Oryza sativa Japonica Group: one gene and its partner. The protein of the gene in region 2 interacts with the protein of the main gene of each other region in a pairwise test. Links are inferred from orthologs where the notes say so. Each region holds a gene or a part of one and is shown on either strand. Other genes may lie near its edges.

Region 1 (4,177 bases), on a different chromosome or scaffold from region 2:
TATACTTTTATGTATACATATAGTTTTACATATTTCACAAAAGTTTTTAAATAAGACGAATGGTCAAACATATGCTAAAAAGTCAATGATGTAAAATATTTAGAAACGGAGGGAGTATGTAATAAGGCATTCTTTTTCAACCGTCTAACATGGATTGAAAGAAACATAATGCCATGTCAAATAAGATACTATCTTTGAACACATCAATGTTACAAGAGTTACAGCAAAGCTACAAAAGCATCATCAAACTGACATAAAAGAGCAAAATGCCTTGGATCCTAACTCATCCTATCAATCGACCAGAATGGTATCACAAGTAAGGAGAATCCATGTGCTGGTCATCTCTCTCATTGCCTAGCATCATCATTGGATGCATACCAGGATCAGGGCGAGGAAATAGCAGCTTCAGGCGAAATGCGTCGACGCCATTCAGATAGTATCTGTACAGCCTCTTTGCTCGGATGAAACCCAAACGACCATATAAGGCGAGGGCGCCCTTGTTCGTAACTTCTGCTTCAAGTGTCACCTGGTTGGAGAGTGAGTCAGATATCAAATAATTCAATTTTTGTACTAATTTCACGAAAGATATTATTGTTATTATGGAAATTGCAGATTAGTCTAGGGCATAATTGAATAATCAATGAAGCAATTTTACACCAAGAAAGTCAAGTGATGGGTACCAAAACGACAATAGGATAATAATAAGTTTTTCATCGGGTGAGAAGATAACAACACAGTGGTGATTACCTCCTCACAGCCAGATTCCATCATTACCCGAATAGATCTCGTAACCAATTCGGTGGCTGTACCATGAAGAAACAGAGGGTTAGCTGATAAAGGCCAACATAGTGTCCATTTAATTGCTTATTACAGATAAAATTAAAAAAGACAAATGGGGACCATTTGCAAAAGCAAAGCACTTGTATACTTCAGGAAAGCTATTCGAACTGAAGCTGGAGCTTTCGCAATACTCTTAACAGATGACAAAGCTACCATATACTCTATTCATACATCGAGAAAGGTCATTCATGTCAGGCAGGATTCAACAATTAAAGCTGTCAAGATCCTTGCTGCGAATGTCATTACAGAAACAACAAAGGCAATGTTTTTCAGATAAACAGACTATCTGTACCATTGTACCAAGATATATGTAAATATCAGTGTGCATTTCATGATAAAAGTATTATGAAAAATGTACTCCCCACACAGGATATATGCATTAGCAAGTCGCACCACACCTATTTATTGCTACATCAATTATAGTCAGCACGCTTCCAAGTGTATGACACTAAGAAGAAATCATCTCATGCAAGAAGTTGATGTAACGATAAGGTTAGGCTGCATACTACAACATCAGATGAAGTGCTAAATGGCTCCAACCATAAAGAACTAATCGACCAAAATGCTCTCATGTGCCACAGACTGAATCGCTGAAGCACCCAACACGAGACATCTGTCACAGGGAAAACTAAACATGGGAATATTGGTTCATAACACAATACCTACTCCTACACAAAACTAGAAAACCACCTAAACAAAGTTAACTAACATTTTATCAAAATAATAGCACAAATCTCAATTGAAACTGATGAGAGAAGATTATATAGTTTAAGAGAAGGGAACAATAGAAGGCTATTGTACCCATAAAAGAAATAAAAAAATGCCTTTCCTTTCTGCAAATCAAGCAGGCAAAGAACAAAGAAATCCTACTAAATACTTAACATGGCATCGTTTTTAGAAAACCAGTAACACTTAGTAAGCTAGTTTTCGTTCCACTCTGCTACACAGACATATTTCACTTGCTGATGTTAAGACAAAAATAATACCATATCAACACAAAGCAACTATTACAGAGAAAAAACAAGTAAATGGTAGTGTGAAAGGATCATGAAACAAATTAGACTTATAAGACCTATAGCTAGTAATTTCTTGACACATGTAAAAGTGATACTCAATTAAGTTTGTGCAAGCATAACAAGGGAAAAACACCTATTTAGTACATATGGATATCATATCGAAATCGATGGAAGATTGTAAATCCGTACTAAATCGCCCACCACTCCACCAGGTGCCAGCCATTTCAGATCGAATTGGAACAAAAACTGAAAAACCCTTTGCTTTCCTCCCAATCAGCAGGATTCTTAAGTTCTTATTTAGATTCATGAGTGGTCTACGCTTCCTTTCAGGACAGACTTGTGCAGATACTATCAAAGGGAAGAATATGCTCCCTTTTGAAACAAACCAGTCAATCAACCAATCAAACAAACAGAGAAACTCTTCTTGGAGAATCGAAGGAGGGCTCACCGATTCCCCTGCCGCGGTAGGGCTTGAGCACGACGAGCATGGCGATGTACCCCCTGAAGGCCCCCCTGTGCTCCCCCATCTTGCACACCACCGTCCCCACGCACTTGCCATCCTTGGGATCGAACGCCTTTTGAGGGGTTGTCCCCCAAATCAAATCAACCAAGAACGCATCAAATCCTCACGAACTCTTGTGAAACACGCGCGCGAGGTGAGGGGAGGAGAGGGCGTACGAGGAAGGTGAGCTGGGGCCAGAGGTAGACGAAGTAGCGGTAGGTGAAGATGGAGTAGGGCTCGCTGAGCTCCTCGTCCACCAGCGACATCACCAGCGGGAGGTGGTGCTCCCCGCCGTAGCTGACGTACGCGATCTCTCCGCCTCCGCCCGAGGGCTCGCCCCGCTCGGTGGCCTCCGCCGCCGCCGCCGACATCGCCGCCGCCGCAGGTCGCCGACGAGGTACTCCTGTTGGGGAGAGGCACTTGAACCCCACGCCCGTTCTACAATCTTGACACGTGGCGTCACCAATCTTAAAGCAATCACACCTAAAGACTGGAACATACTCCTATGTACTCCACGTCTCCCCCAATCTTTAGCGAGGACATGTTTAAGATTATTACTACCAAAATAAACCTTTTTAAAATTTAGTCAAATCAAAATTTTTGGTAAGTTGATAAAATTGTTTAAGTTTTGATATGATGGAATAAATGTGATGTCACCAATTTCCATAAACATTATCAATATTTGGTACTAAACTAAATGCAACCACAAAATTATCGATTTACCATTGTAAATTATGGTGTCAGTGTGAAGCCCTAAATCTGGAAGACAAGAAATATGGGACAAAGGGAGACTATTTATAGTGGAATTCCACAGCAACTTGCATTAAGACTCGGAATCCCGGAGAACACGCGGGGTATTCTCTAGTTATTATATATGACGACATCCTCCTATATCCTACTTTTCTTTCCTCCGCATCAAAAATTTGTATGTGGCATTTTCTCTCAAATGCTGACGTCACACTATTGTCCATTCTCTTACCTTTCCTTTTCACTTTCCTTTTTATTAAAAAAAATAACTACCAGACCTTGCCTATTTGTTATATATATTAAAAAAAGTTATGTACAAACAAGAAAAGAATAAAAGAAATAAAATTATAACCATTGTAACCAAGAAGAATTCAGGGAGCTAAGAGAGTCATTCATCTTGGACAAAGAAAGACTTCCATTCCATGAGTAATATTCTCAAAGATCTTCCTATTTCTTTATTTTCAGATATGCCTGCAATAAACATTTTTCCTTTCTTATGAATCTAATTCTTGCCAAGACCAACATGTGAAAGAGTTCTAGGTTATCATTCATTTTTGTACCAATTCTCTCCCAACAATTTCTGCTGCAAGGACAAGAAAAGAAAAAGTTGTATGGGAGTTTCTTTTTCTGTACTAAAGCAAATCACTCATAAAAGGTCGCATCTTCTTAAGGATAATATTTTCTATCAAGCATATTTCTCGTATTTAGCCTATTACAGAATATGAGCCACATGAAAACCTTTATCTTCGTAACACATCTTATCTTTTTTACCCATAAGAATGGTCTTGGAGGTGTCAACTCCACAAAGTTTAGACTAAAATTTTTGGGAATTAGTATATATAGTTGATTATTACAAATGAAAGACCAAGTACCACTCATACTGAATCAAATTGGTTTCGTCTTTGAATACTTATTAAAAAAAGTATCATCCTAAATCGTTTCAATTTAAATTGCATTCATGGCATCACATTTTCAATCCCAGTTTGCTTCGTACGCACACTAGTACAATAATGATTTTTCCATGCGGTCAAAAGCGGTTTTCGCGTGCGGATCTTTCGCCTGTCTGGAACGA
Region 2 (4,113 bases):
ATCGTACAACATTATAAATTGGCCTTTTCATTCTCATATAGGGCTGAATTATGTTTTTAGCATTCTTCCCTTTGAGATGTACTACGGCTTACCCATAGCAGCCATGAAATTGAGCACTCCAACTAAGCAGAAGAACTAGGGAAATCTCTCTCTCTCTCTCTCTCTCTCTCTCTCTCTCTCAAAAAAAAAAGAATAAGAAGAATAAAAACTAGGGAAATACTCCCTCCGTTTCAGTTTATAAAACAACTTTGGTCAAAGTCAAACTGTTTCAAGTTTAAATAAGTTTATAGACAAATATAGTAATGTTTATAATACTAAATTAGTTTCATCAAATCAATAATTGAATATATTTTTAGAATAAATTTGTCTTTGGTTCAAAATGTTACTACCTTTTTCTATAAATTTGGTCAAACTTAAAACAGTTTGACTTTGACTAAAGTTAAAACGTCTTATAACCTGAAACGGAGGAAGTACAAGTTTACACTATCCTGTATGTAGATGTGCCAATGAGGGGTGTTTCCTTCTATCTTTTTTGAACAAATCTATGGGCACCATCTCGGTCCCTCGACCCGTTATGTTTTTGGCATCAAATGAACTAAAAATAGCTTGATCTTATTTCCATGCAATGGATCAAACTTGGGGCAAGTTTGGACAATGACGCCACATAAAACCCTCTTTTAGCAAGGTGGGGCTACAAATAAAACACACCATCAATCTATAAACAAGTATCTCAGGGGAAAGGTCTCACATTTGAAACTAATATTGCAACTCTCGACTTTCCAAAAAGGAAAATCATTAACCATTGGCATATACCCTTGAAAAAGCTCCAGTTGCCATCTTACTTGCCTATGCAACTGCCCAACTACAAGAATTATAGTACAAGCACTCTCTAAGAATACCACAAGTTAGCTTCTGAAGAGCATAGATATTCATGTCATGACAAACATGTCTACTGTACAACAAAAAAGAAAAATCGGCTAAGTAGATCACTCCACAATTGTGCGAGTAGATACTAGCGGTTACATATACACGAACGTATATATAAACATAGTTAAAATTGCTATATATTACCATAAAGCTATCGAGATGCGCTTAATTCCTTATCCATGGAGACTAGGGTGTGTGCCTCCGGTTTTTATTTTTTTTCCCAAAGGCACGTACACGTGTGTGTGTTCGAGTTTCATCGCGATTCGATCGTTGTCTACTGTTTTTTAATAATACAACAGATGTCCTAATCATCCACGCATGCATAACCCACAATCCCCCAGCATCATCCATCCCTTCCCAATTCCCAAATCACCACCTCTCTTCATCACTTGGGCTCCAGCCTCCTGCAGCCCCAGCCAAGCTAAGGTAAGCTCCATCTGCTTCTGATACACACACTCACACACAAAGCAGCAGCCAGCATCAGCAGCAGCAGTGTGAAGCAAAAATCTCTATCTCTCTCTCTCCTCACTAAAGCACAAATCCTACTCTTATCATCCTGTCTTCTTGCCTCCCTTCTGCCTCCTGCTCACCAAGCTTCCCACACAAACCCAACAAGAGAGTGAGAGAGGAGCAAAAGCTTTGGCTGGCCGTCCCCCCTGTTAAAATGTGATGTCCAATCCATGGGATTGCGTCTAGTTTAGTCCCCCACTCCTCTCCTGGGTCAGTCCCTCCCTGGCCACCACCTCTTCTTCTTGCAGCCTCCTCCTCCTCCGGGGCCTTCTTCTTGTTGATTCTTTTGATGGTTTTTGTGTTTCTTGTCGACCTAGTTATGGGATCCGGCGAGGTGGATGGACGCGCATTGGAGCAGCAACAGTAGCGGCGGGGAAGAAGGCGGCGGGGGATCTGGATCCGAGGCACCACCACCACCGGGTCACCCACGGCGGCGACGGCGGCGGCGTAGGAGGAGGAGGAAGCGGGGGACAGGAGGAGGCAGATGAGCAGCAGCAGCAGCAGCACGACCACCACCGGCTTCTCCAGCTCCACCACCACCAGGGTGTGCAGCAGGACCAAGAACCGCCGCCTGTTCCCGTCTTCCACCTCCAGCCGGCGTCCGTGAGGCAGCTGTCGGGCTCCTCCGCCGAGTATGCCCTTCTCTCGCCCATGGGCGACGCCGGCGGCCACTCCCACCACCACCAACACGGCTTCCAGCCTCAGCTCCTCTCCTTCGGTGGCGTCGGCCACCACCACCACCTGCATCAGTTCACGGCGCAGCCACAGCCCCCCGCCGCGTCCCACACTCGGGGTCGTGGAGGTGGAGGTGAGATTGTCCCCGCGACGACAACTCCACGGTCGAGGGGCGGAGGCGGCGGCGGCGGCGGGGAGATCGTGGCGGTGCAGGGCGGGCACATTGTGCGGTCGACAGGGCGGAAGGACCGGCACAGCAAGGTCTGCACGGCGCGCGGGCCGCGCGACCGCCGCGTGCGGCTGTCGGCGCACACCGCCATCCAGTTCTACGACGTGCAGGACCGGCTGGGCTACGACCGCCCGAGCAAGGCGGTGGACTGGCTCATCAAGAACGCCAAGGACGCCATCGACAAGCTCGACGTGCTGCCGGCGTGGCAGCCCACTGCCGGCGGCGCAGGCGCGGGCAATGCCGCCGCGCCGCCGTCCTCCTCGACCCACCCCGACTCCGCCGAGAACTCCGACGACCAGGCGCAGGCCATCACCGTCGCGCACACCGCCTTCGACTTCGCCGGCGGGGGCAGCGGCGGGACCAGCTTCCTCCCGCCGTCGCTCGACTCGGACGCCATAGCCGACACGATCAAGTCCTTCTTCCCCATGGGTGGCACCGCAGGCGGGGAGGCATCGTCGTCCACCACGGCGGCGCAGTCGTCGGCCATGGGTTTCCAGAGCTACACGCCTGACCTCCTGTCCCGCACCGGCAGCCAGAGCCAGGAGCTCCGGCTGTCGCTGCAGTCCTTACCAGACCCCATGTTCCACCACCAGCAACATCGCCATGGCGGCGGCGGCGGCGGCGGCAATGGCACCACGCAGCAGGCGCTCTTCTCCGGCGCCGCCAATTACTCGTTCGGCGGCGGAGCCATGTGGGCCACCGAGCAGCAGGCGCAGAACCAGCGCATGCTGCCGTGGAACGTGCCCGACCCCGGCGGCGGCGGCGGCGCCGCCTACCTGTTCAACGTGTCGCAGCAAGCGGCGCATATGCAGGCGGCGGCTGCGGCGCTGGGTGGCCACCAGAGCCAGTTCTTCTTCCAGAGGGGACCCCTTCAGTCCAGTAACCAGCCCTCCGAGCGAGGATGGCCGGAGACCGTCGAAGCCGACAACCAGATGAGCCACCACCAAGGAGGGCTGAGCCCCTCCGTGTCGGCGGCCATCGGTTTTGCCGCTCCCGGCATCGGCTTCTCCGGCTTCCGCCTCCCCGCGAGGATACAGGGCGACGAGGAGCACAACGGCGGCGGCGGCGGCAATGGCGACAAGCCGCCGCCGCCGTCGTCTGTCTCCTCGGCTTCTCACCACTGACCGCAGCAGTGGCGAGCAGATGACTTCACCACCACCAATCCACCATGAGCAAACACCACACCATGTACCAGACTATCAGCTAGCTCCTCCACTTCCATCACGGTGAGAAAAAAAAACCGAGAATTCTCATGGCTAACCTGCATTAGTTCAGAATTTTTCTCGTGTTAGTTAGCTGATCAATCTTGTGCTGCTGGTTTTGGTGTTCTTGACATGCAGGAATTGTCGATTGCATTCGGGAGGAGCAAAGTTTGGAGGTAGCACAAGTGCACTACTACTGATGCTACTACATATCGGTTGGTTGGTTGGTTGGTTTTCCATCGATCTCTTCTGCTGCTGCGCATGTCATTGGTTTTTGTTTCAAGAATTCACTCGGAGCTTCTTAGAATTAGGCTTGTGAGAATGCAGCAACACGATGGCAAGCTTTAGCTTAGCTTAGCAAGCCTCTGTGTCTGTTGGCTGTTGCGTTGCGCTAGGTGTAGTTGATCGATGTAGGTTCGAGCTTGCTTTGCTTTGTTTTGATTTTTACTCTTTTGTTGCTGATGCATGGACATGCTTTTGCTTCCTCCTGTGGGTTCAGGAGCAGTTGCTACTAGACCGATGTTGTTCTCAAAACTGATAAGTGGGATGGTGATGGATTGGGAGAGGAGC

Evidence for each region. The genes of interacting proteins can lie anywhere in the genome.
Region 1: the proteins of transcription factor PCF5 (region 2) and N-alpha-acetyltransferase MAK3 interact in binary tests that used the Arabidopsis thaliana proteins (3 or more experiments, as listed by UniProt). The link is inferred for Oryza sativa Japonica Group from reciprocal best matches to the Arabidopsis thaliana genes TCP4 and ATMAK3.

Annotation. Positions count from the first base shown.
Region 1 is NC_089045.1:21,021,687-21,025,863, forward strand, and holds N-alpha-acetyltransferase MAK3, read right to left. Parts: upstream 2,801-4,177; 5' UTR 2,730-2,800; coding exon 2,535-2,729; intron 2,432-2,534; coding exon 2,305-2,431; intron 804-2,304; coding exon 748-803; intron 527-747; coding exon 311-526; 3' UTR 155-310; downstream 1-154. UniProt on the Arabidopsis thaliana protein: Probably required for N-acetylation of some chloroplast precursor proteins and efficient accumulation of thylakoid multiprotein complexes.
Region 2 is NC_089035.1:6,231,382-6,235,494, reverse strand, and holds the start of transcription factor PCF5, read left to right. Parts: upstream 1-1,313; 5' UTR 1,314-1,647; intron 1,648-1,654; exon of another isoform or gene 1,655-1,754; 5' UTR 1,755-2,088; coding exon 2,089-3,465; 3' UTR 3,466-3,567; intron 3,568-3,681; 3' UTR 3,682-4,113. UniProt on the Arabidopsis thaliana protein: Transcription factor playing a pivotal role in the control of morphogenesis of shoot organs by negatively regulating the expression of boundary-specific genes such as CUC genes, probably through the induction of miRNA (e.g. miR164).